Linked DNA regions of Xenopus tropicalis. The protein of the gene in region 1 purifies or fractionates together with the protein of each later gene. This does not show direct contact. Links are inferred from orthologs where the notes say so. Each region holds a gene or a part of one and is shown in the gene's direction. Other genes may lie near its edges.

What was found.
Region 2: the proteins of vdac2 (region 1) and fam162a fractionate together in Homo sapiens (co-fractionation; 3 studies listed by BioGRID and IntAct, with this or other methods). This does not show direct contact. The link is inferred for Xenopus tropicalis from reciprocal best matches to the Homo sapiens genes VDAC2 and FAM162A.
Region 3: the proteins of vdac2 (region 1) and rab7a purify together in Homo sapiens (affinity purification with mass spectrometry; 3 studies listed by BioGRID and IntAct, with this or other methods). This does not show direct contact. The link is inferred for Xenopus tropicalis from reciprocal best matches to the Homo sapiens genes VDAC2 and RAB7A.
Region 4: the proteins of vdac2 (region 1) and phb purify together in Homo sapiens (affinity purification with mass spectrometry; 4 studies listed by BioGRID, with this or other methods). This does not show direct contact. The link is inferred for Xenopus tropicalis from reciprocal best matches to the Homo sapiens genes VDAC2 and PHB1.

The regions. Positions count from the first base shown.
Region 1 is NC_030683.2:54,947,129-54,954,944, reverse strand, and holds part of vdac2 (voltage-dependent anion-selective channel protein 2), read left to right. Parts: intron 1-1,315; 5' UTR 1,316-1,320; coding exon 1,321-1,387; intron 1,388-4,188; coding exon 4,189-4,238; intron 4,239-4,725; coding exon 4,726-4,878; intron 4,879-7,816. UniProt on the Homo sapiens protein: Non-selective voltage-gated ion channel that mediates the transport of anions and cations through the mitochondrion outer membrane and plasma membrane.
Region 2 is NC_030678.2:3,411,902-3,420,221, reverse strand, and holds the start of fam162a (protein FAM162A), read left to right. Parts: upstream 1-3,063; 5' UTR 3,064-3,335; coding exon 3,336-3,381; intron 3,382-6,092; coding exon 6,093-6,212; intron 6,213-6,973; coding exon 6,974-7,079; intron 7,080-7,304; coding exon 7,305-7,413; intron 7,414-8,320. Other genes in the region: ccdc58 (coiled-coil domain-containing protein 58), read right to left, coding at 644-694. UniProt on the Homo sapiens protein: Proposed to be involved in regulation of apoptosis; the exact mechanism may differ between cell types/tissues.
Region 3 is NC_030680.2:135,593,078-135,601,573, forward strand, and holds the start of rab7a (ras-related protein Rab-7a), read left to right. Parts: upstream 1-3,478; 5' UTR 3,479-3,583; intron 3,584-8,496.
Region 4 is NC_030686.2:14,015,297-14,023,547, reverse strand, and holds the start of phb (prohibitin), read left to right. Parts: upstream 1-3,316; 5' UTR 3,317-3,354; intron 3,355-3,431; exon of another isoform or gene 3,432-3,531; intron 3,532-4,665; 5' UTR 4,666-4,688; coding exon 4,689-4,776; intron 4,777-5,167; coding exon 5,168-5,329; intron 5,330-5,567; coding exon 5,568-5,710; intron 5,711-7,777; coding exon 7,778-7,894; intron 7,895-8,251.

The DNA.
Region 1 (7,816 bases):
CATAATATATTTATGAAACATTTTATGCATGAAAATACAACTGATTTGGAAAGCCTCCTGCCTACTAAATTTGCCAGTACCAAACATGTAGATTATCGAGATTTCTGATTTCAACACACCCAGCACCCATGACATCTAACCACCCATATGCCATCAAGTACATGGGTAGAAACTAAATATGAATGCTAGGAAACTTCTTTGATGCCCAATATGCATAGGATTGCCTAATTATGTGGCATGTATAAATCTCACAATTTACTGCATTTTATGTAGTCATAATCCATAAACATATACTTCATATATCCTTATGTATCCTATGTACCAAAATAAAATGTCTGAGATATAAAAGCCAGGCTTCTTCAGAACAATTTGATGACTAATTTTCATAGCAATACCGATATATTAGTGTAAGCCATATAAAGACCTCAGTATGAAAATATTGCTTATACATTTCCACATTTTCAAGGGCAAAAATAATTAATCCACAGCAATACACAATACAATAAACTAACCTAAATTCAATAAAACTAATTTTTAAGCGCCCCCCTCAGTAATTTTGCACATGCATGTGACATAAGTTTTGGGTGTGCATGGTAATCTACGTATGCCAAATGCCACTGTCTCGGCTTGTAGCTGGGCCCCTCTTCCACTGCATTTTGCCTCTGTTTATGATGCCTTGCCTTTAACTCTTTTTGCTTTAAGGTGCCAGTAGATTAATAAGAAACCCTGAAGTTTAGAGTCCGTGGTGTTTGCAACCTGAAACTTTTGAGTTGTAGATTCTATGTTGACCATTTAACAAAGGGTTGGACCATGGTTCATTAATCCTTTACCTTTTATTTATCCTAGTCAGGATGTTTTGAATATGACACCAGGCTCCAACTCATTCAGCTGTCCTGTGCTGTATAAGTTCATATTTGTTAGTGTTAAAGTGATACTGACACTAAAAATCTACTCTTCAAAATATAAATGTACATAAAAAGTTCCCTATAGGTCATGTAGATCATTTTTCCCTGATAGGACTGCTTCTGTAAGTAATTGTTGTCTGAAGTTCCTAAATTTGGCAACCTGACTGTCCCTTCTCAACCTGTCCGTTATAGCTTCTAATGCTAACGGACTAATGCTGCACAAAGATGGCAGCCCCCTCATAGACCAGATAGGTAATGTAAAAGCTTTGAACAAATGCCTTTATGTCAAAGTTATAAAGAACATGCAAAGACAGTGTTATGACCAGTTTTTCAGTTGTCCTTATTTCTTTAAGGGTTGCAATTTTGTTTTATTATTTTTAAGTCTGCAAAATCTTTTTTTATGTCTCTAGGCACAATGGCTGTCCCACCATCCTATGCTGATCTTGGTAAATCTGCCAGAGATATATTCAACAAAGGATATGGTAAGTCCCAAATCAGTCTTGTCTCGAGACACGTGGTAGTAAAGTGCATGTCATAAAACAGTAAAGATATGGGATTACTTATCCGTAATGCTTGGGACCTGGGTTTTTCTGTAATTTGGATCACAACACTTAAAGGGGGAACTATACCCCCAGAAAGGATACTTAACCAATACATAAATTATATTATATTGGCCTGTGGCCTGTAAAGAAAACTTACCAAACTTAAATATATAAATATACATGCATGTATGGGATCCATTATCTGGAAACCTGCTATCTAGAAAGCTCAAAATTATGGAAAAACTGTTTAAAACTGATGCAAAATATGCATAGAGCCATAATAGCCCACATTTTACTCCTTAAAACAATGCATACTTCTGATGCATTTGGGTGTCAGAAATACCTTCTAAGAGCATTGCGTCTGTGGCTGACAAAGCAAAATAAATATTTTTCAGAGAACAGTTTTTGAATTTCCAACACTAATTCCATATTTGCAAGGGGCCCTTGCTTCCCCTGGGCCTTCCCTATTCACCTGTATCATTTTCTGACACAAGCTTTAAGAACAGGAAAGTTGTGATTGACACTATCCTTGGGGGGTGGCGCAAAGTATCAGCCTACTAGAGAAAAGTCCTCCTGTCCCCCAAGGCAAAACAGCTTTGACAAAGCTCGGCCTGACCAAGTGAAACATGTGTCAGGTGCTTTTAGCCGGTGGTAGATAGGCAGGGCGCCGTGAACTCATTTGTTGTTGATGGGTGATTTGGGGGATGGGTGTTGCTGGGATGGGTGGTTGTGGGCTGGATGACCTGGATAGCGGGGCAAGCTGTGGATCACTTGGGGCCTTCCCCACTAGTATAGCTTTCTGAGGACTGTGGTGTACCTTGCAAATCTGGGATTAAGGCTGGTCACCTTTATCTTTATAGTTATATGTATAGTTTTATTATATATTAGATTTAAAAAGTTATTTATTATATATTTATATTATATTAAAAAGTTACTCTTGATTCTACTTGTTTTTAGAGCAAATGTGGGACAAAAATTAATTTAATTAACATTTTCTTTACTTAATAAATGCAGTCTAAAAAAACCCCATCTGATTATTTTCCTTTAGCCACTCTGTGCATGCTACAAGTCAAGAACATTCTGTGCCCTTTTGTTTAAGGGGCAACTAGCTTGTCACATTATATGTAACGTAAAGATGGCCTGCTCTGGTAGATTTAAGCTGTCAAAGTAAACTTGGGGATATCCATCTTTCAGCTACTTTTAGTGGTTTATTTCCTGTTCTCCATAAAGACCCAAGGTCATGGGATTGTAAAATATACAAGCACACTGTTGGATATTTCAGTCAATAATGGTGTCTTTTCTACTAAAAAGAGTGGGGTTGATTTGAGTGGAGGCTGAACAGGGGTTTCTTTTTATTTCAGCGGTTGTTAATTTTATGTATGTACTTACTATGCCTTTTTATAGCATAGCTTGCTGCTAACTTACCATGAACTATTATGACTAACCGCTCCCAAAATTCACGACACCTAAGCCATTTCTCTGTTTGCTATACTCCTTTTACAATAGTCTAGTTCCCAGCAAGATTCCTGCCTGACTCTAATGGTAGCCCTGTCAGTTACAGTGTGTATGTTAAACGGGTTATAAAGTCAAAAATTATAATTTTTCTGTTATTTGAACCGAATGAAATAAATATTTATAATTAGAATCACTTGTTTTTTACTTCTCATTGTTACCAAGCCCTTTTGTCACAGCTGCTCTAAACCTCCACGGCCAGTGGCTGTCTGTTTCTCCTACTCATCCTGACTGCCATTAGACTGAATGAGGGTGTGTATGTTTACTCTGCACATAAGGTGCGCCCATTGCTAACACAAGAATGCTTTAAAGGCAAAGTAACACTAAAAAAATTTTAGTAAAAAATCTATTACTGCACCGATAATTGCTCTATCCTGCAAAACACTTAGTATTTTGAATGCTTTATTAGATAATACCTTCTAAAACTTTGCTTCCGGTCATTTGAAATAAGGCGATACAGCGAAGGAAGGAGCAGCATTCACTATGCGACGATCGATTGATCGAGCCTAGCCTGAATCGTTCCTATACAGAAGGAAGGCTAGGCTCAATCAATCGATCATCGCATAGTGGATGCTGCTCCTTCCTTCACTGTATCGCCTTATTGCAAATGACCGGAAGCCAGGTTTTAGCAGGTATTTTCTAATAAAGCATTCAAAATATTAAATGGTTTGCAGAATAGGGCAATTATTGGGGCAGGGTAGAATAGATGTTTTACTTAAAAAATTTTAGTGTTACTTTTCCTTTAACAAATCAGGATTACATGTACTAAAAATCCTGTTGTAAAGACGAGCTATAATCCTGTGCACCAGACCAAAAAAAATTGTGGTTTGTTTAAAAAAAGCATCATTAGCCACACTGTAGATAAGGTGATGTCAAGGCAAATGCTGTAATAGAGCCTTTCTGCAGAGAGAAAAAAACATTCCCACTCATCATTTGGCTCAAGACAATGAGGAGAACGGTGCTCCATTTAGGTGTGTTTAAAAGCTATTTTAACTGCTTTGCCATAAAAAAAAAAAAAAAAATCTTATTAAAACGTGTGTCAGAGTCCTTTCCTATGTCAGGCTTATCTATAAATGCAGCATGTACAATTTGACTTTAGATCTCCTTTAAATACTGTTCATATAGGAGTATGTGTTGTAGTAATGCATTAAAATCTTTGCATTGAAAGTTATGGTCTTGTTGCTTGTCAGTAATCTCATTACTTTGTTTTTGTTTTGTTTTTTAATAAGGTTTTGGACTGGTGAAACTCGATGTTAAGACCAAATCTGCAACTGGAGTGGTGAGTTCATCTGTAAAGTCTTTATTGTTTTTCCACCGTGTCTACTTTTGTAAGGCTGTATACCGTAACTATTTCCTTAAAACACTGTTTCTTTAAAATATGTTCTTGGATTTCTTTAAAAAATATCCAGGGCTACAGTTAAAGGCCTATTTATCAAACTGTAAACAAACAAAAAAGCAAATATACCACACAGCCACACTTTTTTGCATGTGCGAATTAGTTATTAAATCTCTTGGTACAAGCTTGTCCTAGATAAGATTTTTTTTCATCATCTTTTGCATTAACTGGGTTACTTGGGCTAATGGTTACATACATGCACATGAACTGCTATAATAAAATATTATAGCAAAAAAAAAAAGCGTTTTAATTTTTTGCAAAGTGAGGTAGTGGTAGATGTTGTTTAATCTGCAGATTTTATACCACGGCAAGTGAGAATAGCATCAAGATCAATAAAGCTCATTGCCTAACTTTTTTTTTTTTTTACCAGGAATTCGCAACATCTGGTTCCTCAAACACAGACTCGGGCAAAGTAAATGGCAGCCTAGAAACTAAATACAAATGGGGAGAATATGGATTAACCTTCACAGAGAAGTGGAATACAGACAACACTTTGGGGACAGAAATTGCCATTGAAGACCAGGTGAGTGCACTACAGGTTTTAGTAACAGTCTGTTTTTGTTATGTGTTTCCTATTTCACACCAAACATTTCACACTAATAATGAATCCAGAGAACCCTAACTATTCAATTGATTGTAAAGTAATACAAAGAGGAAGTTTAGAATTGCTCTTTTAATTAAAAAGGGGTTTAAAGGAGACATATAGTATAAATTGGAAAACCCTAATTTTGTAGGCAATTAGGATTAATGTTTAGCCCAAAGGGAAACCAGCACCGGATATTATTCATATCTGTAACAATGGCCCCTTTATTGGAGCTCCCTATAGATCCTATCTCTTCTCTGACCATGTTTGAAATGAAGAGTGGGCGTGTCCTAACGGTCCCTGCCAGAAGCACAGTAGGAGGGGGAGAGCCAATCACAGCCCTGCACTCACACAAGCACAGACAGGCTTTAGTTCCCTATCAGGTCAGCCTAGTTGCTGATTGGTTCCTATCCTACAGTGCAGTGTACAGAGGGCCGTCGGCTCCCCAGCTCATCCAGAGAATTCAGCCAGCAGGAAGTGGCACAGATGGGCGGGGCTAGTGGGGGTTTGGGGGAATTTCTCAATAAATTAGTCTGAAACACAACTTTTTTAAGCACAATCCTTCTATATCTAGAGGAGTATAATTTCCTGGTACATTCTTAATTTTTATAAGATATGTCTCCTTTAAAAGTGTGGGCGAGGCTTTTAAAATAAGCACAGAATTAATTTAAAAAAAAAATCCGTATTGCACACTCTACCAAACCAATATTAACAGTTGTTTCATAGGTAATCCTACGATCACTCCTACAATGAAAATCCCTCTAGACCAGGGCATTTAAGCATAAAACCTTTAATCAAAGTTCTACAAAAAAAAAAAACTTGTAAATGATATGGAGATGTGCTTTTAGACCCACTTCCACTTCCTTTGAAGATTGTATTTGTATATATAATATATAACAGGAGAAGAGTGGAACCGTACTCACAGGTCTTGTGAACAAAAAAAAAAAAAAGGTTTATTAAAGATGGACTAACGTTTCAGCTAGCAGTAAATATAATATATACATATAATAAAACAAACCATTAAAAAACACAAAGAAAAAAAAACAAATAGCGAGTAAAGAAAAGTATTGCAAGCAAAAAGTTACACGTATACAACACAGAATGACCACATAATCAGTTATTAGTAGAAACTATGTTTATAGACACTATAGTATACGTGGAGCCTATTAAGAGTTAGGAAACTCATCCAAATATTTTGAAGTATGTATAAGTCAACACAACACGATTGACATAATTGAAACAGCTAACATGTTTCCCTCTTCTTAATAAGATCAGTTCTGTTAAGTATATATCTTTATATACAAATGGTACTTACATTAATCTAAATTTTCAGAGGGATATTTGAGCTGTGTAGAGCAAGCTAGAGTCCCCGAGGAAAGTCGTAGAAGTCGGTTATGCACTTAGTGCAGTAAGCTACATAGGTTGTCATACCGATTGAGTGATCAGTGCATTACAGCACACGCTCTTGGTACGGGGCATCACACAGGGTTGTCATAGTAACTTGGAATCAACTGTCTAACTACAAGGGAGAGTAGTAATAGCTATGGGGTTATAATGGCAGGTTACGATAAACTTAGAATGGAACTTCCTTGTGCGGTAGTGGTTATGTGTATGTGGCTTTACTTATAAAGAATGTGTAGTGCAAATGCAAACAGAGGAAGCTTTGATTAGAAAAGATGGAAAAAGGTGAAGATTAAATAGAGGAAAGAACTGAAACGAGCGAGTGCCAGGCTGCAGTTAAGGTTAGGAACAGAGGATCTCCTATTTAAATCTGATAATCAAAGTATGAAGTGTGACCAGTAGCAAACGAAAATACATTATACAGGCCTGCTGTGTGCGTTGATAAACTGAAAGATCTCAAGTCAAGCTTGGGCAAATGTTGGAACGGCCACCGTTGTATTTGGGTATATGGTGTTATGGTTAGTACATAACTTACACTGTATAGAGGTATAACACACAACCTGTCCAATAATGCGTCAACAATGTTCTTAAAATGTAATATTTGGTTTTAATAATATACCTGTGATGCTTAATGTAAAATGGTCAAAAACCAATATTAATCAAGTTACTCGTTAGCAGTGCAGTATATCAAAGCAGGGAGCATACTGTTCCTTGATGGTACCAAATGTGGTAACTACCAGATACGTAATACAAGAAACCGGTGCTTGTATTACGTCACAGTGGGAAAGATCACTTAATTAATTTGAGGATGAATATAAAGAGTAAAGAAACAATAAGGTATGTAGGCAACTGTAAATAAGAACAAAGTATATAAAGAAGGGATCAAGCAAGTGTGTAGGACAGAAAGGTAGGTAAACATAGTACAAGGCAGAACATAAAGTGGTCTAAACAGGACAATTTAACCAAAACACTATATTAAAGCTCAACCACTATCTGATGCATCAAGCACAATAGGTCAATCAAGAAACATTGTAGAAAACATAATCAATAAAAAGGAGCATAAGAAATCGGTTTGTTCAAAACTCCGGAACTCAAAGTATCCAAACGATGGATCTATCCAAGTTTTCTCGGTCACCACCCCATGATGATGATGGTGGTTGTGGTAGGAACAAAATCAATAATCGTACTTCTCACAGGCCAAGGAGTGTCTTGATTCCAGAAAATGTTTTGACACTGGGGTGTCTCCTTTATCAGTGTCTAACACAGTCCAAATGGCCGAGCAATGCTTCGCCATTCTGTCACGAAAATTGGTGACCATTTTGCCCACGTAAACTAAACCACACAGACATTTAATGGTTGGTACAATAAATTTAGTAGTGCAAGTCGCACAATTTTTGATGGAAATCGCTTTTCCAGAATGCAGATGATAAACTGAACAGGTAACCTGCCCGAAGACAGAGACTGACATTTCTTACCA
Region 2 (8,320 bases), on another chromosome or scaffold:
GTGTGCCTTCCCGTGACCCCCCTGTGTGCCTTCCCGTGACCCCCCTGTGTGCCTTCCCGTGACCCCCCCTGTGTGCTTCCGTGACCCCCTGGTGTGCCTTCCCGCCATCCCCCTGTGTGCCTTCCCGTGACCCCCCTGTGTGCCTTCCCGTGACCCCCCTGTGTGCCTTCCCGTGACCCCCCTGTGTGCCTTCCCGTGATCCCCCTGTGTGCCTTCCCAAACTCCCAGCCCCCCTGTGTGCCTTCCCGTGATCCCCCTGTGTGCCTTCCCGGTGACCCCCCTGTGTGCCTTCCCGTGACCCCCTGTGTGCCTTCCCGCCATCCCCTGTGTGCCTCCTGTCCCCCATGATCCCCCTGTGTGCCTTCCCGTGACCCCCCTGTGTGCCTTCCCGTGATCCCCCTGTGTGCCTTCCCATGATCCCCCTGTGTGCCTTCCCAACTCCCAGCCCCCCGGGCACCTCAGGTCCCACAGAGAAACCCAAGCAGGGGTCGTTTCAATGACCGCACAGTTTCCCCTCTCTCTCCTTCCCGCACTATTACCCCGCACTATTACCCCGCACTATTGCCCCGGCCCCGCACTATTACCCCGGCCCCGCTCTACCTGCCCGGACTCCCCCTGGCGCGGCGGGAAACTTTGCCCTCACCTGAAACTCAGTGAAGTCTTCGCAGCTCCCGTCTCCGCTGGGCGCCGCCATATTGGAAAAGCCGGAAGGCCCCGCCCCCCCAGTCCCGGCCTCCCGATAGGCTGCCTGGGGAGGGGCCTGATTGGAAGGTGCCGGGAGTTAGCGGGGAGCCGTGTGGGTGAATGTTATTGGGGTGTCACGGTACAACTCAGGGGAACCCGGAACGTACTTATTCCTATAGGGTCACAGTGCTGTACAGTGAGTGGAAAGGGTTCCAGTATATAAAGGGTTAAACTGAAACTCCCATCAGCCTGACTCCCAGCACCCTCCCCGACCCATTGCTTGGGCCCCTCTATCCCTGATCCCTGGGTGCTGCCAGCCGACCGGATTGGTGCAGACAGTGAGCCAATCAGATCTCAGTGAATTGCAAGCCTTTGGGGCCCAAACAACAACATGTTGTGGCCAAGTGGAAATACTTATTTACTGTATTTGAAATAAAATAGAGGGGGGGGGGGGGGGGGTATAGTGAAGACCCAAAGGGAACAGCAAAAAGCCCCATTTTTAAGGCCCAGCCCATTGGTTAATAATCCCTGCCTAAACCCAGTGGGGTAACTATATGGCTAATGGGCATCAGTCTTTCCCTGAAGTTGCCCCTGGAGCCATGGCGGTGGGTTGGGCACACACAGGGCACACACAATGGCTCTCGGGGCAAATACAGGGAAAGGCTGATGCCCATAGGGGCTGTTTGTTGGCATTTACCCACAGGCTGAGAATCAGCCCCGTCTGGCATTGGCCCAAGGGGAGTAGAACCCCCAGCCCGTCACCCTGTGTTCTACCTGCACCCACTGTAACCAGCACCCAAACAGGTGTCCCTATGGGAAGTCTGCTGTAGGGAGGGGCCAAAACCAATACATTGTACCTGACAGGGTCAGACTGGGGGGTGCAGGGACCACCCCAGGGTCCCCCACACCCCCCAGAGGGGCCCCGCTGCCCGCCCTGTACACACGTACAATATAGGTACTTCCAGGTGCACCGGAGGGGTGGCACTGAGTGTGAGTACTGCACCCCAGATTTCTGTTAGTCTCTTTGTGGGACTATAAATACAGCTTATACCCAGGGCCACCATCAGAAATCACGGGCCCCTCACAACAAAATGTTCTGCCCCCCCCCCCCATGCCACATGGCCCCTCCTCCACCCATGCCACATGGCCCCTCCCCCAGTAACCCCTCCCATGAGTACAAAGGACACACAGACATTGGTAGCCAGGGCCCCCTAAAACATTGGTGGCCATAGCCCCCCTAAAACATTGGTAGCCAGCCCAGGGCCCCCTAAAACATTGGTGGTCCTTCCCCAGTGTCCTCATACTATGGCCCACTCCTCGCTGCTTCCTCCGGCTCTCCCCTGTGTCATAGCCACACAGGCCAATGATAGCCACACAGGCCAACACTTGCCACACACACAGGCCAACACTAGCCACACACACACAGGCCAACACTAGCCACACACACAGGCCAACACTAGCCACACACAGGCCAACACTAGCCACACACACAGGCCAACACTAGCCACACACACAGGCCAACACTAGCCACACACAGGCCAACACTAGCCACACACAGGCCAACACTAGCCACACACAGGCCAACACTAGCCACACACAGGCCAACACTAGCCACACAACCACAGGCCAACACTAGCCACACACAGGCCAACACTAGCCACACACAGGCCAACACTAGCCACACACAGGCCAACACTAGCCACACACAGGCCAACACTAGCCACACACACAGGCCAACACTAGCCACACACAGGCCAACACTAGCCACACACACAGGCCAACACTAGCCACACACAGGCCAACACTAGCCACACACAGGCCAACACTAGCCACACACAGGCCAACACTAGCCACACACACAGGCCAACACTAGCCACACACAGGCCAACACTAGCCACACACAGGCCAACACTAGCCACACACAGGCCAACACTAGCCACACACAGGCCAACACTAGCCACACACAGGCCAACACTAGCCACACACACAGCGTCCATATTGCTCAGTTTACCCATCCAGCCCAAGTAACCCTAATCCTTTCATTCACCCAAGTGAGTTGATGCCCCATATCTGCCCCATATCTGCCCCACTACTGCCCCATATCTGCCCCACTACTGCTCCAAGAAAGCAGAGGAAAGTCTCCATTTGAAGTGGATCAGCTGGGACCCAATAAGATCCATGTGTATGAACATACCCAAATGTAAAAGATCCTGTCATGGTATATACCTATAACTGTCAGTAAGTTGCTAAAGTGCCCGGGGTTGGGCAGGGCATTGCTTATAGGCTGGCAATGTTATAGCTATTGGTTGTATCTATGCTTGTACCAGGGGTGCTCCCTGCCAGCTCTCACCACTAGGGGGCAGAGAATACTGGATTAATCACAAGGAAATACAGCTCGGAAAGCCATCTCCCTGCACCGTGTTCTGCGCACTGTAACTGAGTGTAACTATCAGAGGGGGCAGTACGGCCCTGACACGGACAGCTACAATAAGCACCCCGGAAATACATTTGGCACGCACGTTGCGTTCCACGCAATTACACAATATATCCCGCCTCTGCAAGCGTATTGGTTGTCTGCGGACGCGGGCGTGCCTATAACAACACGTGACTCCGGGCCCGCTGACAGAGAGCGGCTGCCTCTTGCCTTGAGGATGTGGGGAGCAGCGCTGAGGAGGAGCGGGCTGCGCTCATTGGTCGGTGGGTAACACGTGGGTTTGCTGGTAGACTGAAGTGGTGCCGGGGAGGATCATGGGAGCAGGGAGGGTTACCGTTATCTCTGAGGGAAGGAAAGTGGCGTTGCTCTGGGGCTGTGTATAACGGATATCCCCTCTCTGTTACACCCCCAGAGCTGTGCGGAATCAGGGAAGGTGGCATGTAATAAAGTCATCATGTATATTAGTGTTTCACCTCCCGGGGAATAATACACACGGCCATGTCCTTCCCGAACTGTGCTCTCTGCCTGCAAGGTCCCGCCCCCTTTAATGTCTGTCTGGGCCCCTTACAGCTCTAGGGCCACTGCCAGGATTTATACCTACCCCCCCCCCCAGCCAGGGTACTACAGCCCCCCCCCCCCCCCCAGCCAGGGTACTACAGCCCCCCCCCCCCCAGCCAGGGTACTACAGCCCCCCCCCCCCCAGCCAGGGTACTACAGCCCCCCCCCCCCCGCCAGGGTACTACACCCCCCCCCCCCAGCCAGGGTACTACAGCCCCCCCCCCCAGCCAGGGTACTGGGTACTACAGGCCCCCCCCCCCAGCCAGGGTACTGGGTACTACAGGCCCCCCCCCCCCAGCCAGGGTACTGGGTACTACAGGCCCCCCCCCAGCCAGGGTACTGGGTACTACAGCCCCCCCCCCAGCCAGGGTACTACAGCCCCCCCCCCCAGCCAGGGTACTGGGTACTACAGCCCCCCCCCCCAGCCAGGGTACTACAGCCCCCCCCCCCCAGCCAGGGTACTGGGTACTACAGCCCCCCCCAGCCAGGGTACTGGGTACTACAGCCCCCCCCCCAGCCAGGGTACTACAGCCCCCCCAGCCAGGGTACTACAGCCCCCCCCTAGCCAGGGTACTACAGCCCCCCCCAGCCAGGGTACTACAGCCCCCCCCAGCCAGGGTACTACAGCCCCCCCCCAGCCAGGGTACTACAGCCCCCCCAGCCAGGGTACTACAGCCCCCCCCAGCCAGGGTACTACAGCCCCCCCCCAGCCAGGGTACTACAGCCCCCCCCAGCCAGGGTACTACAGCCCCCCCCCAGCCAGGGTACTACAGCCCCCCCCCAGCCAGGGTACTACAGCCCCCCCCCCAGCCAGGGTACTACAGCCCCCCCAGCCAGGGTACTACAGCCCCCCCCCCAGCCAGGGTACTACAGCCCCCCCCCAGCCAGGGTACTACAGCCCCCCCCAGCCAGGGTACTGGGTACTACAGCCCCCCAGCCAGGGTACTGGGTACTACAGGCCCCCCCCCCCCCAGCCAGGGTACTGGGTACTACAGGCCCCCCCCCCCCAGCCAGGGTACTGGGTACTACAGGCCCCCCCCCCCCCAGCCAGGGTACTGGGTACTACAGGCCCCCCCCCCCCAGCCAGGGTACTGGGTACTACAGCCCCCCCCCCCCCAGCCAGGGTACTGGGTACTACAGCCCCCCCCCCCCAGCCAGGGTACTGGGTACTACAGGCCCCCCCCCAGCCAGGGTACTGGGTACTACAGCCCCCCCCCCCCAGCCAGGGTACTGGGTACTACAGCCCCCCCCCCCCAGCCAGGGTACTGGGTACTACAGCCCCCCCCCCCCCAGCCAGGGTACTGGGTACTACAGCCCCCCCCCCCCAGCCAGGGTACTGGGTACTACAGGCCCCCCCCCCCAGCCAGGGTACTGGGTACTACAGGCCCCCCCCCCAGCCAGGGTACTGGGTACTACAGCCCCCCCCCCCCCCAGCCAGGGTACTGGGTACTACAGCCCCCCCCCCCAGCCAGGGTACTGGGTACTACAGGCCCCCCCCAGCCAGGGTACTGGGTACTACAGCCCCCCCCCCCAGCCAGGGTACTGGGTACTACAGGCCCCCCCCAGCCAGGGTACTGGGTACTACAGCCCCCCCCCAGCCAGGGTACTGGGTACTACAGGCCTTGTTAGTCTGACATCATCACAGTGGGTTGGCCTGGGGCATACAATGGTAAAGGGCTTAGGATCAGACCCAATACAGGAGAGAATGGGGGGGCAGTATTTACTTTTGGGCTGTTGTGGGTCAGTGATTGGGGGGGGGGCAGGTGTATGTTTAAGCCCAAGTACCTGTTACTCAACCATCTCTTCCTTCCCCTTTGGTTGCTGCCAGGAAGCCCCCAGATCCCCTGTACCAGAAGCCTTCCCTGCTGGGGCCCCATGGCCGCTCTCCCCTATTGGAGATGCAGGGAGTTGGAGCGGGGCCACAGTGCCAGGAATGTAGCGGATAAGTTCCCAGCCTGGCACCGTGCCACGTTCCCCTGAATCAACAGAGCGCCAGTCTGGTATTGAGGCCTCTGAATGGCTGGAATTGGCCCCGAGTCAGCTCTGGGAGCCACAGAACAATCCCCCCATTCACTGACTGTCATAACAAGGTGCCGGCCGTGGGAATGGGCCGTCGGATTCACTAGGCGCATTGTCAGTCTCCTTTAATGAGAATCTTCAGTGTCGAATTATGGGGGGGATGGCAGTGTTTTAAGGGGCCACAGTGACCCAATGTTGGGGTGGCACCCGAGAGGTTAAATATGGTTTATGTGTTTAAAAAGGGGAAATACTGACCTGGCAGCCCTGGGGGTGGGGTATAAACTAATGCTGGCAGAGAGGGGGCAGGTACACAGGGTCATTATTACATGTACCCCAGTTTGCTGGGTAGGTGCCCGGGGGTGGCAGTAAGTCTCACTAACTCAAACCTTCTGCTCAGAGCGAGTGACTGTGCTGAGAGGAGGCTCTGTGCCCACTCACAACCCTCTGCCAACACGGACGTTGGGGATCCCGAGATGGCTGTGCAGCAAACCCCAAGAGGTGAAGCCCAAAGAGCCTGGTAAGTTGCCTGGTCTCATTTTTGTTGCTCTTGATACTGTCCTGCGGGGGGCGCTGTCTCTATACAGAGAAGGAATGTTCTGGGCACACAATAAGCTGTACCCCTATACTGTACTGTCTAAGGGAAACACTATGGCACCCCCTACCCATATGTATAAATACAAATATACAGAGAAGGAATGTTCTGGGCACACAATAAGCTGTACCCCCATACTGTACTGTCTAAGGGAAACACTATGGCACCTCCTACCCATATGTATAAATACAAATATACAGGGAGGGAATGTTCTGGGCACACAATAAGCTGTACCCCCATACTGTACTGTCTAAGGGAAACACTATGGCACCTCCTACCCATATGTATAAATACAAATATACAGAGAAGGAATGTTCTGGGCACACAATAAGCTGTACCCCCATACTGTACTGTCTAAGGGAAACACTATGGCACCTCCTACCCATATGTATAAATACAAATATACAGAGAGGGAATGTTCTGGGCACACAATAAGCTGTACCCCCATACTGTACTGTCTAAGGGAAACACTATGGCACCCCCTACCCATATGTATAAATACAAATATACAGAGAGGGAATGTTCTGGGCACACAATAAGCTGTACCCCCATACTGTACTGTCTAAGGGAAACACTATGGCACCCCCTACCCATATGTATAAATACAAATATACAGAGAGGGAATGTTCTGGGCACTGGGATATAGATCCTAGAACTGTAACTTAAAATAACTTCTTTCCATTCAGGGGTTACATTCAAGGTACCAGGACACAGACCCACCGACTTTGAAAAGAAGATTCTGGTGTGGGGCGGTCGCTTTAAAAAACAAGAGGATATACCTGAACTTGTGACGTGAGTATATCACCTGCGCTGTGGGCGGGGCTAGAGAGAGGCTTGAGGGGGGTTGGCTTTTCAAGGGCAAGTAAGTGTGTAATTAACTCCCACCCCCCACTTACTGGGAGGCGGGAACTGTGTCAGTGGGTGGGGCCAATATGTCATTGCTGTGGCAGGGGGTGTATTTAAGGTGTTTCAGGGCACAGAGCGGCCATGACGTGGTGCCTTTATGCCCCGCCCCAGGTACGACATGGTGGAGATGGCTAAGAGCAAGGTGCGGGTGAAGGTCTCCTACCTCATGATCCTAATGACCATCCTGGGCTGCATCGCCATGGTGGTGTCTGGGAAGCAGGTAAGTGTCTGTATCCGTACTGCACCCCCGGGGCACCCCGCCAGCTGATTGGCCCATAGCTGTAACCATTCAACTGCTACATTGTATCTCACCCTGAAACACTCTTGCTCTGCGATTGGCTGCTAGTTGGTCTGCCCTTGAGAATATTCTGATTGGCTCGTGGCTATATTCCACTGCTCTCATTGGCTACAGGCTGCTTTAGCTGTGTGATCTTTGAACTTTAATGGGAATCTGCCCAAGTTGGTAGATCCCATGTTTGTTACCATAGTCACCCTGAAGAGTTTGGACCTGAAGGCCAAAATAAGAATGAATGGGAATTGTCCACATCTGGGATCCACTAGTGCTTGGGCCCACTGGGAGATGCTCCAGTACCCAGGCCTTATTGCCCCAGGGGCTCTTTATTGGACCAACTACTGATATTTACTAAACAGGCGGTGTATTGGGGCTCAGATACTCTTATAATAACAATGTTGCTTTAAACGTCCGATGCCCAGCCTCAGCCCTTGGCGCTGTCCCTGCTGTATAATCAGACTGGATTGGGCCGGCCAGCAGCAGCAGAGATTGGCCGGGGAGGACTGGCGCTGAAGGTCATTGAGATTGGCTATTAATAGCAGTGCATGGAAACTGCCAGACTCCTTGGTACCAACGCCACTCTGTCCAGTCCCGAGCTTTGCCAGTCTCTGTGCAGTAGCGGATTTGCCCACACTAAGCCTGTCTCTGTGCAGTAGCGGATTTGCCCACACTAAGCCTGTCTCTGCGCGGTAGTGGATTTGCCCACACTAAGCCTGTCTCTGTGCGGTGGCGGATTTGCCCACACTAAGCGTGTCTCTGTGCAGTAGCGGATTTGCCCACACTAAGCGTGTCTCTGTGCAGTAGCGGATTTGCCCACACTAAGCCTGTCTCTGTG
Region 3 (8,496 bases), on another chromosome or scaffold:
ATTTATTAAAAGAACCGAATATAAAAAGCACAAATGAATTAAAATGCGGAACGAAAATGAAAAAACACTAAAACTAAACCTAACTTCTAAAACCACAAATTAAATAAAGATTGTTACAATTTGCCTAGGATAAACTCCTATTGACTTTAACATGACGGTGACAAGATAAATGGCGAAAAAAATGTTGCCATTTTTTCATGACACATAAATTAAGGTGGCCATACATGGTAAGATCTGCTTGCTTGGTGAGGTTGTCAAGCTAGCAAATCTTCTCCCAATATCCCCACCTACGGGTGGGCGATATTGGGGTAATTTGAAACGATCAAATTAGAACTGCGGGTATAGACACTCTCGGTTCAATGACCACATCAATAAGCCAATGCGGTCCCCGATCTGACAGAAAAATCAAACCTGCCTGATCAAGGTCTGGACGATTTCAGGCCAGATGCCGGTTGGGCAGGCCCGTCATTCATGCTCATACACGGGCAGATAAGCTGCCGAATCTATCCAGGGTCAGACTTGGCTGCTGGGGCACCGGGAAAAAACCTGGTGGGCCCCGGCGGCTCAGACCTGTTGCCTGTCGCCGCTCCGCTGGTGTCCCTCCCCTAACGCGTTGCATACCCCCAACATTTGAAAAGCAGAAAGAGGGACAAAAATATGTGGCGCTCGTATCGGGGCTAAATTTTTAGGCCACGCCCCCCCCAACAGGCCCATTTTACAAAACCACACGCGAAAAGTATAAAATACACAAAAGCGCACCAGAAGACAGACACAGTCGCCCCAATCATTTTATGACATATTGTGGACCCAAGGATTTTATTATGCACTGTGGCACCTGTATATCATGACTCATGAAAGACATAGCTAGCCAGCTCCCTCCAGCTCCCCCCAGCATCCACCCAACATCCTCCAGCTCCCCCCAGTGTCCTCCCCAACATCCTTCAACTCCCCCCAGCAAGAACCCAAAATCCTCCAGCTCCCCCCAGCATCCACCCAAAATCCTCCCCAGCGTCCCTCAGCTGCCCCTTACCTTTCTCCAGCTGCCTCCCAGTGTCCTCCAGCTGCCCCTTACCTTCCTCCAGCTGCCTCCCAGCATCCTCCAGCTGTCCCTTACCTTCCTCCAGCGTCCCCCTGCATTCTGCGTCTCCTACTGCTCCTACCACCCCCTGCCCGCTTGCCGCGGCTGTGCCCTGGCTCTTCTTCTCCTCCCCATGACGTCACACGCATCTTTCGTTAGCCCCGCAGCTTCTGCACAGTGAATCCCTAAATGTTAGAACTGACCTGTGCGGCGCAGAAGCTGCGACGCTAACAAACGACGCGTGTGACGTCACGGGAAAATTTTAAAATCGGGACAAATCGGTGGCTGTCCGGGACAGCGGGAAAGAGACGCAAAATTGGGACTGCATACCCCCCAACTGTCCCGCTTTCCGCGGGACAGTCCCGGTTTTTAGAGCGCATCCCGCTGTCCCTGATAGTTCCATGAATGTCCCGCATTTCCGTAATAAATTAGGAAATGCGGAACATTCATTGACTTACCCAGGACAGCGCGATGCGTTGGCGCTCCTTCTTCCCCAGCGGCTCCTCAGTGTATGCGGCTCCTTCTCCGGCGGTCCCTGGCCCTTTTATAAGTTGCGCCCGGTGTGTACGTGTGACGTCATTACGCACGGGCGCAACCTTATAAAAGGGCCTGGGACCGCCGCAGAAGGAGCCGCATACACTGAGGAGCCGCTGGGTACGAAGAAGAAGGGAACGCTGTGTATGCGGGGGGAGGGGGCTGTCTCTATTGGGGGCACTGTGTATGGGGTGGGACTGTCTCAATTGGGGGCACTGTGTATGGGGGGGGCTGTCTCTATAGGGGGCACTGTGTATGGGGGGGCTGTCTCTATTGGGGGCACTGTGTATGGGGGGGCTGTCTCTATTGGGGGCACAGTGTATGGGGGGGACTGTCTCAATTGGGGGCACTGTGTATGGGGGGGCTGTCTCTATTGGGGGCACTGTGTATAGGGGGGGCTGTTTCTATTGGGGGCACTGTGTATGGGGGGGCTGTCTCTATTGGGGGCACAGTGTATGGGGGGGACTGTCTCAATTGGGGGCACTGTGTATGGGGTGGGACTGTCTCAATTGGGGGTACTGTGTATGGGGTGGGACTGTCTCAATTGGGGGCACTGTGTATGGGGTGGGACTGTCTCAATTGGGGGCACTGTGTATGGGGTGGGACTGTCTCAATTGGGGGCACTGTGTATGGGGGGCACTGTCTCAATTGGGGGCACTGTGTATGGGGTGGGACTGTCTCAGTTGGGGGCACTGTGTATGGGGTGGGACTGTCTCAATTGGGGGCACTGTGTAGGGGGGGCACTGTCTCAATTGGGGGCACTGTGTATGGGGGGACTGTCTCAATTGGGGGCACTGTGTATGGGGGGCACTTTCTATGGGGGGCATTGTGTATGGGGGCACTGTGTATGGGTAGTACTGTCTTTTAGGCTATTGGGGGCACTGTGTATGGGGGGGCAAACTGGTACATAGTTATAACTCACTTATAACTGACTGCCTTCTCTCTATATTTGTATTTTATATGTAGGAGTTGCTATATTGTTTTCCTTAGGTAGTACAGTATGAGGGAATAGCACATTTGCGTCTGATCCCGCCATTTCTACTATATAAAAGGAGAATTTTTTGAAAAAAAAATGGATGGGGTGTGGCAATTGGGTCGTGGCCACAAAAGTGGGCGTGGTCAAAAATTGCCATGCTGCACGCACGGAATCTTTTTGTCCCTCTTTTCATTTTTCAAATGTTGGGAGGTATGGGACTGTCCCGGGTAAAGCGGGACAGTTGGGAGGTATGGCGTTGTAGTTACGCACGATCAGGGGAGGATGTCGGGCGGGGTCCCCTGTGGGGGTACAGAAGACTCGTGGGGGCCCTTGGGGCAGTAGCCCTGGTGGACCCTGCACCCCCACTCCGACCCTGAATCCGTCTAAAGAAACCGATATCGGCAGCTAGAATCAGCCTTTGTATTGGCCACCATTAGTGAGGAGGGGTGATAGCATGCCCCAAGCCACTTCAGGAGGGAACAATGTGCCAGTAGGCCAGTAATAACGATGCCCCACTTACAATCAGAAATATGAAACTGCTATTCAAAGTAAATGGATTGTGCTGCCAAGTTGCACAATAGTCCAGCAATAAATTGTTTCTCATGGAAATAAAACGCTGAACACAGTATGAACATAACAACATATGTTTGACAAAAAGCACGTTTTCTTCTGTTATTGTTTTTGTGAGGCAAAGTGGTCTTTTATACTGCCTTCCCGACATCTCAAGTCCCCAGGTAATATGGCGGCAAGGCGGTGACACAGCAAATCACGTGGTGTTTTTCCTTTTACTCCCTTCCTTCTTCACGCCCCGTTCCGTTTTAGCCAATAGGTAATTAGGAGGAGGCGTTGACGTCAGGCGCCCCATGACAGGGTGTCACTTCCGTTGGGAAGAGAAGGGTTGGCAGGGGTAGGAAGCGGAGACAAGCAGCGGGCCCGGCGTATAGTATCTGACCGGCCCGGGACATCCAGACGCCACAACAACCCACCCGTAGCAGGTGAGAGGGGCACTGGGGGTTTGGGCAGGGGGCACCTAGTCGGGGGGCTTAATTCAACCCAGCGCCCGACACTAGCGGAGGCCTGATAGCGAGGCCTGGGCAACACCATTATGGTAGTGTTCGAAAGGCACCCACCCTTCCCCCGGCAGGTAGCCCTGATTGTGCTGCTGGGCCTAAAGGCGAATGGCATCATGTCGGGGATGCTGAGTGAGATAATACAACGGCAGCTGGGCTGGCACCGGGACGGTCCCTCCCAAGGCATCCGTGGGGCATAGGTGGTACATCCGTGGGGGATAGGTGGTACATCCGTGGGGCATAGGTGGAACATCCGTGGGGCATAGGTGGTACATCCGTGGGGGATAGGTGGAACATCCGTGGGGCATAGGTGGAACATCCGTGGGGCATAGGTGGAACATCCGTGGGGCATAGGTGGAACATCCGTGGGGCATAGGTGGTACATCCGTGGGGGATAGGTGGTACATCCGTGGGGGATAGGTGGTACATCCGTGGGGGATAGGTGGTACATCCGTGGGGGATAGGTGGTACATCCGTGGGGCATAGGTGGTACATCCGTGGGGCATAGGTGGTACATCCGTGGGGCATAGGTGGTACATCCGTGGGGCATAGGTGGTACATCCGTGGGGGATAGGTGGTACATCCGTGGGGGATAGGTGGTACATCCGTGGGGGATAGGTGGTACATCCGTGGTGGGGGGATAGGGGGTACATCCGTGGGGGGATAGGGGGTACATCCGTGGGGGGATAGGGGGTACATCCGTGGGGGCATAGGTGGTTCATCCATGGGGGCCCTCGCCATTGATGAGACCGTTCTATATTTTGTTATGCTTCGGTGTATTAGGGGAGGCCAGTGTTCTAAACCAAAAGGTAAGGTGGGTTTCCGATGGCAGCCGTGGCCCCTGCCTGTGGCTCCCCAGCTGTGGGAATCAGGGATCTTCACTCTGTTGCTTGACAGGAACCACCCTTGCTTGAGCCCTTGGGGGGGGGATATTTGGAGCAGTAGCCCAGTAGCAGCCACAGCAGTAATGAAGATATACTTTGTTTCTATTCTCCTTTTTTGATCCCCACCCTTTCAGGCTTCAGCTTTTGTTCACATGTTTAATAGTGTCCCCTTTACTCCTCCCTTCTCTCAGCGTTATGTGTCTGCAACACTTTATTGCTAAATGTCCCTCATCATCATCACTTATCAGTCTCCTTCCTCGCCATTCCACTATAGTATTACCCAGTATTTATAAAACATACAGTATACAACCCCACAGTGGCTCATTATTGTGTGTCACCCCTATTTCAGGGCTGTTAATCTATAAGGCCACAAGCCTTAATGAGCTCACTTGCCCTGTTTATCTGTGTCCCTGCTAGCCAGCTAGAATGCACCCTGTTTTATGCATTTATTGCATGATTGCTAGAAATCAGGTTGATAATTACCCAGTGTGTTATTGAGGCTGACGATTCACCTGCTGTATAACAGTGATTATTTCATCTTTCTTTTTTTACCCATTTCTAAGCCCAGCCCACCTGTGTAATCCTTTCATTACCCCTTCCCACTTTCTGTTCTTCATTATGCAACATTGTGGAATCTGTGTACCTTTTCCAGTTTCTCAGCTGCCTTTCCAAGTCCTCATGTTCCCTCTTCTATTTCTCTGTCATCTGCTCTTCCTCTTTCTCCAACAATTTGCAAATACGCTACCCTCTTCATACCCCTGATGGTATCCGCTCACCTTCCTCTTCAGCCCTTCCTAAATGTTTTTTCCCTTATTACTTCCTCATTCATTTTGTAATTGCTAACCTCACTCCTATCACTGTTAACTGCCAACTAATATTTTTGTTTGCATTATTCAGATGCCATAATGTCTGAACACAGAATAAACAGGGTGGTCCTTATTATTCTTTAATGCAATTTTATATATTAATTTACCTTTTATTGGACATTATTTTCACCTTTTGAAGTGCTTGTCTATCTCTTGTTTATTCTCCACTTCTCTGCCCTTTGGCAAGTAGGGTAGTTAGCATTTCCTATTTAAAGAATATATATATATATATATATATATATATATATATATATATATATATATATATATATATATATAAAATATTTTTTTTTTTTTTTTTTTTTTTTTTTTTTAAATATCCATAAAAACCACTATAAACAGTCCCTATAGTAAGTCTGTTGTATTTTGTAAGGGCTCATACTCACAAGTGTTTTTTGCGTGTTTGCAAATGCATGCTGAGTGCAAAAAAACCCACATATATTGGGTTTATATGTGTTTTTTTTAAACGCACCTGTGTGTTTTTGTTGGTTCCAAACAACCCTCTATTCTAGTGAATTATGAATGCACGTCAATAGCTAGAAAATGCATCATGTTAAAAAATTTTTTGGGTGAAACGCAATTCTGAACGCTCGTGCGTTCAACCAGGCAAAATATAATGGAATCAAGTAGAAAATGTGTTTAGGTGTGCTCAAAGATGAGTCTCAAACGAACATCAAACAAATGTACCCCAGCAAGAGACTGCTCCCCTTATTAATACCTTACACTTAACTAGTCTTCTTTTTCTATATACAAATGACTTGTGGCATTATTATATCCCTATTGGCTCTAATCACACTTTCACCTTTTTTCTTCATGTTAATGTGCTGTATAATGGTTTGATGTTTTTCCTTCCCTGGGTGATTGATACATGGTGTCAGTATATCCTGCTACACTTGCATATATCAGAATAAGATTTACTTTTGGCGTGGTTGTTAAATATTTTTTTCCTCACTAGTTTTAGTACAGTGACGTTCTGAGATAATTAGCATTTGGTTTTAAGCTTTTGTTTTGTTGTTTTGTAGTTTTTGAGTAATATACCTTTTTTAAGCAGTTCTCTAGTTTAACATTTTACCCCTTTATTTGATTCCTAGGGTTTTTATTGAGTCTAGCAGCAGCCATGCATTATTTGAATATCAGTCTGGAAAAAGAATGGAAAGAAAAGTCATTGAAATTAACAATAATAAAACTGTAGCCTTACATGACAACAGTGTTTTTGTTTTATTTATCTTTTTGCAGGGGTCAATGACCCCCATTAGCCAGATAGCATTTTAATTTGGAAGCTGGAAAGATGCAGACATTCTTTAAATAACTAAATAAATAAAAAGGTGAACTACCCCTTTAATGCTGTTAATATGCTGCTTGCATTTTCTCATTGCCATACATTGTGAGTGATTACAGCTTCTCTCTGACACCTTTCAGTTAATATTTATTGCCTTAAGAACTTACAGTCATGCATTATCATGCCAAAGGTTTTGCCATTGAAAAATGGAAACTGTTATTCAGTCTAGATGAAACAGTGATTATATTCTGTACTCTATCCTAGTGAAATACAATGTATAGAACACTTCTGGGGGCTTTAAAAAAATCTTTTGAAGGTGGCACACAGTCCTTGGGTAAAAGATCAGCCTTCAGTGATTTTGTTAAATGTGTTCAAATGTGTTTTCGTCTCTCTCGTGGCTCAGGCACCTCTGTAATACTCAGTTTTTATACATGAATATCTTTAGGGAATTTGTATTGATCAGATGCTTAAGGTTAACATATTGCTTCTTTTGTTTCTAAGGAAATAATGCCAGGGTGATTTAGGCAGAAATAGGCAGCTAGAGCAGTGCTGTCCAACTGGCGGCCCGCGGGCCGCATGTGGCCTTCGACCCCCCTCTGTGTGGCCCCCCACCTGTCTGGCTGCTTTGATGGCTTACCTTTGAGTAAGCATTAAATGGTATCAGTACTGAGATTAACTGGCCCCTTGCATGGTTCTCACCTCAGATTCAGGCTGTAATCCCTCTGTATTGTTGAAAAATGTAATCCCCTGTGTTTTTCACACCTTTTTTTTATAGGTAAATTTTTTATTGGTTTTACAACATCACAAAACAAAAATACAAAACAGTGTATAATATATTGACATTAAGATTGAAATGGTGTCGAGTCAGGTTTAGGCCAATACAGTCAAGGGTGCTATTACTAGGCGTTGTAGTTATCACAGTGTAGGTGAGTGTGTTTAGTTCTGTCGGATCAGTCACATTTAGTGTGAAGGGGTAGGTTATGTGTCCAGATTGTCTTGATTATACCAATTTTCCCAGATCTTGTCAAACTTGTCATAAGCACCCCTTGTTTCATAGGTTAATTTGATAAGGGGGAGAGCTCCATCCACCAGCCTTCTCCAGAATGTTTGGGAGGGGAGGGTGTCTCCCATCCAGTGCATAATTATTGTTTTTTTGGCGTAGAACATGAGCGTACGCAGTCTGACTCTGGCCACGTTAGTGCATATTATTCCATCTATGACTCCTAATAGGCAAGTTATTGGGTCTACTATCTGCGGTGTACCCAGTTCACTTGCTAGTGTTTCCATTATTTTGGACCAGAATTCGTGTATGGGGGGACAGGACCAAATCATGTGGAAGAAATTGGCCCCGGGGGATTTACATCTTGGGCAGAGGTCATCCTGTCTTCTCCCAAATCTCATCAGTTTGAGGGGTGTTATGTAGGTTTGGTGCAGAAATTTGTACTGTATGAGCCTATCCTTTATTGGGATTAGGAAATCATAGGCATTTTCTGTGGCTTCCTCCCATTGGTCTTGTGCTAGTTCTGGGATGTCTTGCGTCCAAAGACGGTAGGCTCGATCAAAGGGTGGCTTAATTGTTGTCATAATCTCTTTGTATAGCCTAGATAGTAGTTTGGCTGGAGATGGAGAGAGCAGGATGTCCTCTAGGGTTACTGTGGTTATTGTGGGAGGAAGGGTGTGGAATTGTGCGTGAAAGGCGTGCCTAAGTTGGAGGTATCTATAAAATTGTATCTGCTTTCCCAGAGCTCTGTCTTGTAGGTCTTGGTATGTGGGAAACTGAGGACCAAGTGTTAGGTCTCCAAGTTTCTT
Region 4 (8,251 bases), on another chromosome or scaffold:
GGTTCCCATTTGTTCCTCTGACCCTCACAGAAAAGCAATAAAACACATTTTGACATAGCAATAATGAGCCAGGCCTCCAGCAAAAAAAAATCTTGACCTCCACATGGGGGGGGGGGGGGGCAGAGCACTTTCATGGAAGCTACATTCTAGTGCCCATTACAGGAGGCTGAAGCAATACTCTGTGGGTTGATTCTTCAGCAAGCCAGCTTTCACCTCATTCTCTCTATATTTGCACGGAGACTAAATGCTAATACTAAATGCTAATACTAAATGCTAGACTAAATAGGGCACTTTGGGCACATTTCTGGGTAGAAATAAAAAGACACTGGCTGCCCTGGCATAGGCTGCAATATGGTGGGAATTATGTGCACAAAGGTTCACTGGACCCTTAGTGAAAGTCGTAATAATTTAAATTCAAATGCTCAAGGTTTTGCCCTGTGCTCTCAGTTAAATTTGTTTTTTGCATGGTTTTTGCTTTACCTTTCTCTAAATTTGATTTTTGGTACACAAATTAAAAGATGGGATGGGGACACTTACAGAGTGTCGGAATAGAAACCTTCCCAGGAGCCAATCTGAATGAATGTGGCCCTTACATTTCCCCTTTTTCTGACCCAATTCTGCTCATTAGCCAGAAGTAAAACCTGGGAAAGACTAAAGCTGGGCAAACACAGAAAGATCCGCTCGTATGGCGAGGTCACTAATTGAGTGGATACTTCCCCGATATACTCACCTTGAGGTGGCTGATATTGGACTGATCCGATCGCTTGGGCCAATGGTTCACATAGACTGGATGCAGGGATGAGGACCACATCAACTTGCCAATGCCCTCCTCAGTCCGACAGGATTTAGAAACCTTCCCGATCAACATCTGCCCAATTGTTGGCCATATATCTACTCAAACCATTTGAGAAGCTTTTATCGGCCTGTGTATGGCAACCTTTAGGCATTAAATGGAGTGATTAGGAGCTGGAGGGAAGGTGCATCTGGCACAAATACATTCTGCTTGTGCCCCATCTTATCTGCAGGCTCATATTGTCTACGTGGAACTAGAAAGCACTAGACCAGAACTGTCACCTTTCAGAGACGTATCCTTTTCCTATGCAAGGGGGTGCTTTTTGCTTTCACATGTAGTAATGCACCAGGACTAAAACAATTGGACCCAGTGGTGCATCTGGGAACTGTCGTACAGAACAGCTGCAAGGCCTGAGATCATATTCTGGGTGTTTCAGCCTGGCAGTCACTGTTGGGCTAGTATTTATGAACAACTGTATCAGCCAGATGGAAGTTTGCCTCAAAACGAGAGTGCCCACCCTGGAATCTGGCACTGATGCAGAACTGGATTATATATCTTATTTTCTCAACAGCTTTTAAACATCTAATGTTACTAAACCCTTAGGACAACCCTAGGCCCCCTTTAGAGGCCTCCCTCCTGAAGCCAGTCACCAGGGACTCACACTCCAGCAGCTATTAAGCTATGGCTAAAAAAACCTAAGAGTAGGGCAGCTGGGTTGGCGAGTGCCATTTCACACTGCTTTGGGCCTTCTTTACTGCAGTCTTGCCACAGGAGCCTGCATCTTGTCACTGATCACAGTGAAGAGGACCCAAAATGGCGGGAGATGGCCCTTGCTAGCCCGGAAGTGTTGCTCTGCATTTTATAGCCAGAAAAGTGATAGCTGCTGGTGTGTGAATCCCCGGTGGCACAGTACAGAAGGTCTACAGTTGTTCTCGTAACTGAGATGGGTAGTGGAAGAAGAATTAAATTACATATGCTCAAGGCCATATTTTACCCTATCTGTGCTTTGGCCATCGGTGGGGCATAATTCAACATTCCTGGCCCTGTGCTTTGCTGATATATTTTGACTTTGCCTCTATTGACATCACATGGCTGGGGTGGTTTCGTTTGCCACACAAGACAGTATATCAGTATATGCACATATAGGTGGGAGATGCCTATTTTCTTCTTGGGGTGAGGTCACATGGGGCGTTTTTACTAACCCTAACACGTAGTTGAGTATAAATATGGCAGCAAAAACACGAGCATAATAATGCGTTTTTCAGCTTGCAGTGTTGTTTTCCCAACATGCATTTCTAGCTTTTTCCCACATTCCCACATTTCTGCTGTTACACGTGTTTGTAATGACGTTCCGTATCACAAAAAGCCTTGGAGGAAGACATCTCTGAAGAATTTTATTAAACTTTTGTGGGACAAAAGCCAAGCTGAAAAGCAATTTAGGTGCAAAAATGTAGCCGGACTGATCGTCAAGATGCTACATAATTACATCACCAGCATACAACGCCGCAAATACATATATGTGCAATACATCTCGCAAGAGATGCCATATTGAAAATAAGCGGCGTATTTCAACAAAGTGTATTTCCACACATGTAGATCCCATAGAGGTATGGCGTTTCCTTGATGTAATGGCGTTTCTGCTGAAAAACGCAAGCACTGGCGTCATGTGGCGGATATCAGCTTGCAAGCTCCCCGTGGGAATTGCTGTAGTGTGTATTTCATTTTGTGCGTATTTACGCTCAAATCTGTTTTTAAAAACGCAATGTAAAAACTCCCCGTGTGACCTTGGCCTTACACAGGGTCGGACTGGGGTGTGCAGCACCCACCAGGGCTGTCGCCCCAATGGCCACCATACACAGTATGGGTAATGGAGACCATAGATAAAATATTAAGTATGAGGGAAATCAGTTATCAGGTATTGCTGTGCTGCAGGTTTCAGGAAGTTTATATATTCTGCATATGTATATTCCAATGCTACAGTAAGATCCCCCTGTGTGAAGAGATGGTTCAGTCTGACACCATTGGATTTAAAAGGCTTGCTAAACCAAAGTGGACACAGGCAGGGGGGTTATTAGAACAGAATCCTGTACAAAGTAGAAAAATGGAGCATGAGGAAGGAGTAATTATATTTAGTGTTCTTAGATACAGAGAGCAACAGGAGTTATCTAGTTAGCTGGAACTATTCACGTACACTGAAGGGGTCCACCCTGTCCTCCCCTACTAAAGGCTAAACTCCAGGCATGCAGAGAAATAAAATGGTTCGCTAATGGTTTCATCAGGCTGAGGATAGAGTTAATTTAGACCGCCCTTGACACTGCATTTCACCTCCCCTTTTCGCATGACAGTCAAGACCGCCAATGGGTTGTCACGTCAGCCCAAGCTACTATGGGAGGTGTAGTCTACAAGCATATAGTACGCGTAAGGGAAAGCAAACCCTGGAACTACAAGTACCATAATGCAACGCGATGCCGAGCAGCGAATAACGTTATAGCGCTGAAAGGGGAAGATTGCGCATGCGTGATCCGGAAGCGTGTTTCATGTGGAGGTCAGAACGTAAGGAGGTGAGTAGGGGGCATAATTAGCTGTGTATCAGGTATAGAGAGAATAGAAATAAAAAAGTACATTAGTGTGAGGTCGCTAGAACGATGATCCTTAACATATAGATCTCTAAAGCTGTCAGTGTGGCGCATCTGTGGCTCTCAAGGCATGCTGGGAACTTTCAGTCCAACTACAGACAAGTATCACAATCTAGAGGTCATTGTATCTTCTAAGGCAGGGAAGAAAAGTGTTCAGTGTGTGAAGATATGCCATTGGCATTACTAAAAAAAAATCATTTTAGACCCCCCACTACTTTGGCAGTACATATAGCTGCTTATTGGCTAGTGTCCCTGCAACCTCAGGGTCTGCCTCCTTTGTAGCTACACCTCTGCAGTAGGTTAATTGTTGCAGTAACTATAGGAAGGAGACCCTATGACTGCAGGGGGGCAGGAGCTACTGGGACACAAGCTGATAAGTAATTCAGTATATGTCTATGAAAAATATCTTGTCCCCAAGGTTCAACAAAATTATTTTATTTAGTAACTTCTTGTTCTGCAACTCATAATTAACCACAGGACTGCTTTAAGGGGCAATGGGCCCAGGGTAAAGTTGTGATAGTTGGGCCCCCACACCATAGTGGTTTCCATATACTGATGAACTTGGACATAGGGAAGAAGAAAAAAATGGTCTGTGCTTACTGAAGTAGGCATGATTAAGGTACCCCACCCTTGAACAACAGCCAATGAAAATTGTAATAACAAATATCAGTGTTTTATTACAAAGATCCCATAGGAACATTGTTATAATTGAATGTTAAAGCAAACTGCATCTAGCTCATTAAAATGAGGGGGGATTCTTGAGTCTTGGTATAGCAGATTACAGGTGTGAATAAGGGCCTCCAGTCTCTGTATGCCCTGAGTAAATACCCATTTATTAAAATGTTTTCATTAACCTGTGGGTCAGAACCCAAAACAGGTTGTTATACAGTAGAATACTAATTAAAATTAGTAGCATAATTGCTATTCTAGTTAACTGTATTTCTAAAGCGCAAAGCTATTCTGAAGCTTTATATGTATAAAAACAGAGTTTGTGTACAAATACTGACCAAAAAAGGAGGTAAGCAGGACCCTGCTCAACAGAGCTTATAACTTAATAAATGATTTACTCCCCGAGTTCTGGGGAATGATTGGGAAACAATGCAGTGTGTAGATGGTGAGAAAAGACAAAGTGAATTAGGTGGTGGTTTCTTATATAAAAGTAAGGGTTCTACATATCACTGATGTACTGGTGGTTATACCTGTTGTAATTCTTACTCTTACTTTTTTTTTGTCTAGTTTTGATTTAACCCGCAGGACCAATGGCAGCACGACTGTTTGAGACTATTGGGAAACTTGGCCTAGGACTGGCTGTCGCTGGAGGGGTTGTGAACTCTGCACTATATAATGGTAAATAGCTCAATGTACATAACTGTCCCTTCCCGCTTACATTTTATTCTGAAGGCCTAGATATAAATGTGCTCAATACTATATTCATGATAAATTGGCCACCAATGTATTGATTATTTTTCTGCCTATCAGGAGCAAGTATTGCAGCAGCCACTTATGCATAAACAGATGCATGGATCACACTCCCTGTGGAAAATAGCTATGCTCATATAATTAACTTATTTATAGATAATTAAGCAAAAGTTATACTTTTCTTTTAATACCTTCTCCTTTGTTAATTTGTTCTGCCTTTTATTCAAAGCTCCAGTTCACTTCAGTGCAATCCTTCTCCTATTGCTTTAATTATTTGTTTGTCATCAGTCATAACGCCCCTTTCTTTCCTCTCTTTAAGTGGATGCTGGACACCAGGCAGTCATCTTTGATAGGTTCCGAGGAGTACAGGAAACAGTAGTGGGCGAGGGAACCCATTTCCTTATTCCTTGGGTCCAGAAACCCATCATTTTCGACTGTCGCTCACGTCCTCGCAACGTACCTGTTGTTACAGGGAGCAAAGGTAAGTGGCACCAAGCTTTTTCCACTCTTTTCAGGGTCAGTTAAAAAAAAAAATGACCTATTAGGAGAGAAATGGTGCTTGCCTTTTAGGCTTGGACCCACTTGTAACATCTAGCCTATGATTTGTGATATTGGTACATAGTTAAAGCTTTGGTTATTGCAAAATGTTGTGGTGATGCAAATTTTCTTTATGTTTAAAATAAAGTCTATACCAACGACCTACTCATTTATTTTTCCAGATCTACAGAACGTCAACATTACACTGCGTATCCTTTTCCGGCCAATGGGTAATCAGCTGCCGCGAATCTTCACCAGTATTGGAGAAGATTATGATGAGAGAGTCCTGCCCTCCATTACTACTGAGATCCTAAAATCTGTAGTGGTAAGTGGGATGAGGGACTATGTTGTCTTCTGTATCTTTTTTTTTTTTTTTTTTTATAAAGGTTATTGATCACATGCTATACAATATGAGATCCTAGGATTAATGGGAAGCTGCTGCCCTAGGCACAGGCCCTCAGGTGCCTATTTGGTAAATACGGCTCTGCACAATAGTTCTCTTTAGAGCACTGCAGCTGCTCGTGCCATTGGAAGGCAAGGATTGCAAGAAGCTAGCGTTACTGGTAGAAATATAAATGAAAATGGACATTTAAATGACTTGCATGCATATGAATGCCAAAAAGTTTGCAGACTTTCTGGGTGTTCCCAACTGTGTATTGAACATCTACTTAAACAATGTTAAGTATTTGTATTGCCTGATTTATAACTATAGTTTATAATAACTATTCCCCTGTTTGTGTTTATACCTTGTAAAGCACTTCATACTTTTGTGGCACTATATTAATGAATACAATATAGATATATGGGAGAAACAACCAGAGGCTTACTTTCTACCTAGGTCTAAATTGTACTTTCTTATGCCACGGTGGGAGTGGGGTAGTAAGTGAGGGCAAGAATTAATAAATATTGCACAGTTCCATTGGGATCCCAAGTCTTATTTTCCCAGGTGGAAGTCTAGATTAGCCCATGTGGGATAAGGAAATTAGGTTATCAGTGACCCCTTGCTGCTGCTGCACTTTAGCATGTACTGATTTTCCCCCCACCCCCCACATAAGAGGACAAGTTCCCCAAACCCTACGTCAAGGGTTCCCAACCTTTCTTACTCATGAGCCACAGCCAAAAGTAAAAAGACTTGGAGAGCAAAACAAGCAACATAAAAGTTCATGGAGGTGCCAAATAAGGGCTAAGATTGGCTATTGGAGTTGTTTTCTCTGGAAAAGAGGCGCTTGCGACGGGACATGATTACTCTGTACAAGTACATTAGAGGGGATTATAGGCAGATAGGGGTGTTCTTTTTTCCTATAAAAACGATCAACACACCAGAGACCCCCCCTTTAGATTAGAGGAACGGAGCTTCCATTTGAAGCAGCGTAGGGGGTTCCTCACGGTGAGGGCAGTGAGGTTGGGGAATGCCCTTCCTAGTGATGGGGTAATGGCAGATTCTGTTAATGCCTATAGCGGGGCCTGGATGAGTTCTTGAACAAGCAGAATATCCAAGGCTATTGTGATACTAATATCTACAGTTAGTATTAGTGTTTGTATATATAGATAGGTAAGTTGTGGGTGCTGGGTTTACTTGGAAGGGTTGAACTTGATGGACTCAATGGTCTTTTTTTCAACCCTATGCAACTATGTATTAGTTTGCCTCTGTGCACACTGTCAGCTTACAGGGGCTTTATTTGGTAGTAAATCTTGTTTTTATTCAACCAAAACTTGCCACCAAGTCAGGAATTCAAAAATAACTACCTGGTTTGGGGGCACTGAGCGCAACATCCAAGGAGTTGGGGAGCAACATGTTTCTCACAAGCCACTGTTTGGGGTATCACTGCCCTACATGCTTCCCTTGCCACCTGTGGTCCATACGTGGGAATCCTAATAAAGAGAGAACCCTTACTGACCTTTTACCACCTACTTGCCAGTTGAGTGAGGAGTCATAGGTGGGAACCTGAGGTCAGGGACTATAATGCCCCATTAACCTATCAAAAAAATGTTTGTTTACATGTTAGTGATCCCACCCACATAGTCAGCCAGAGCTCCAAATCCTTATTTTGCCCTCTACTCCCTGATGGAGCTGAATAGGACTGGAACCACCCCTGCTTTTATACACAAGTTGCTTGTAGGCTGTTCAAGAGGAAAAAACATTTGAATGAATGCCATAGCTGCTTCTTGGGTCAGCGGTTTCATACAAAGTTTTAATTTCCTGTGTGTTGTGTCTGGCTGTATAGGAGAGCAAGATGAAAGATACATCACACATACTGAAGTGGCAAAATTAACTAGTGCTGAGACAGATATTCAAATATTAATTAGGATCAGTTTGAAACTAGATGTTTAAGACACTGGGCAATCATTTTGTTTGTCACTTTGATTTAATTCTCTAACACTTGCGCTCCAGGCCCGGTTCGATGCAGGGGAGCTAATCACACAGAGAGAGCTGGTGTCCAGGCAGGTGAGCGAGGATCTCATGGAGAGAGCAGCCACCTTCGGCCTCATCCTGGATGACGTGTCACTGGTGAGGATATTCTCCTTCCTGATCTGTATACCAGTTGAGGGTATGATTGTAAAACTGTAAAATGCTGGGCTAGAATCCTAGTAGTGAATAAAATACCTCACAAATAAAAGGACAGAGTGTTGTGAGAAGGACAGGGTCTATATACAACTTTATGTGGAAATTTTTTGAGATAAATATAAATAAGGACACTCTTTTATTCAGCTTTAGACCAGTTCATCTCATCGGAGCAAAGTGCTCATGTGAGAACCTGGGAATAAAAGAATTGCTTAGAACAGCAGTCCTGTGTCCAGTCTTGCCAAGGGTGGTGGGAGTTGTAGTAACTCCAGTGGGACTGCTACAGTTGGCTAAAAGCCTGCA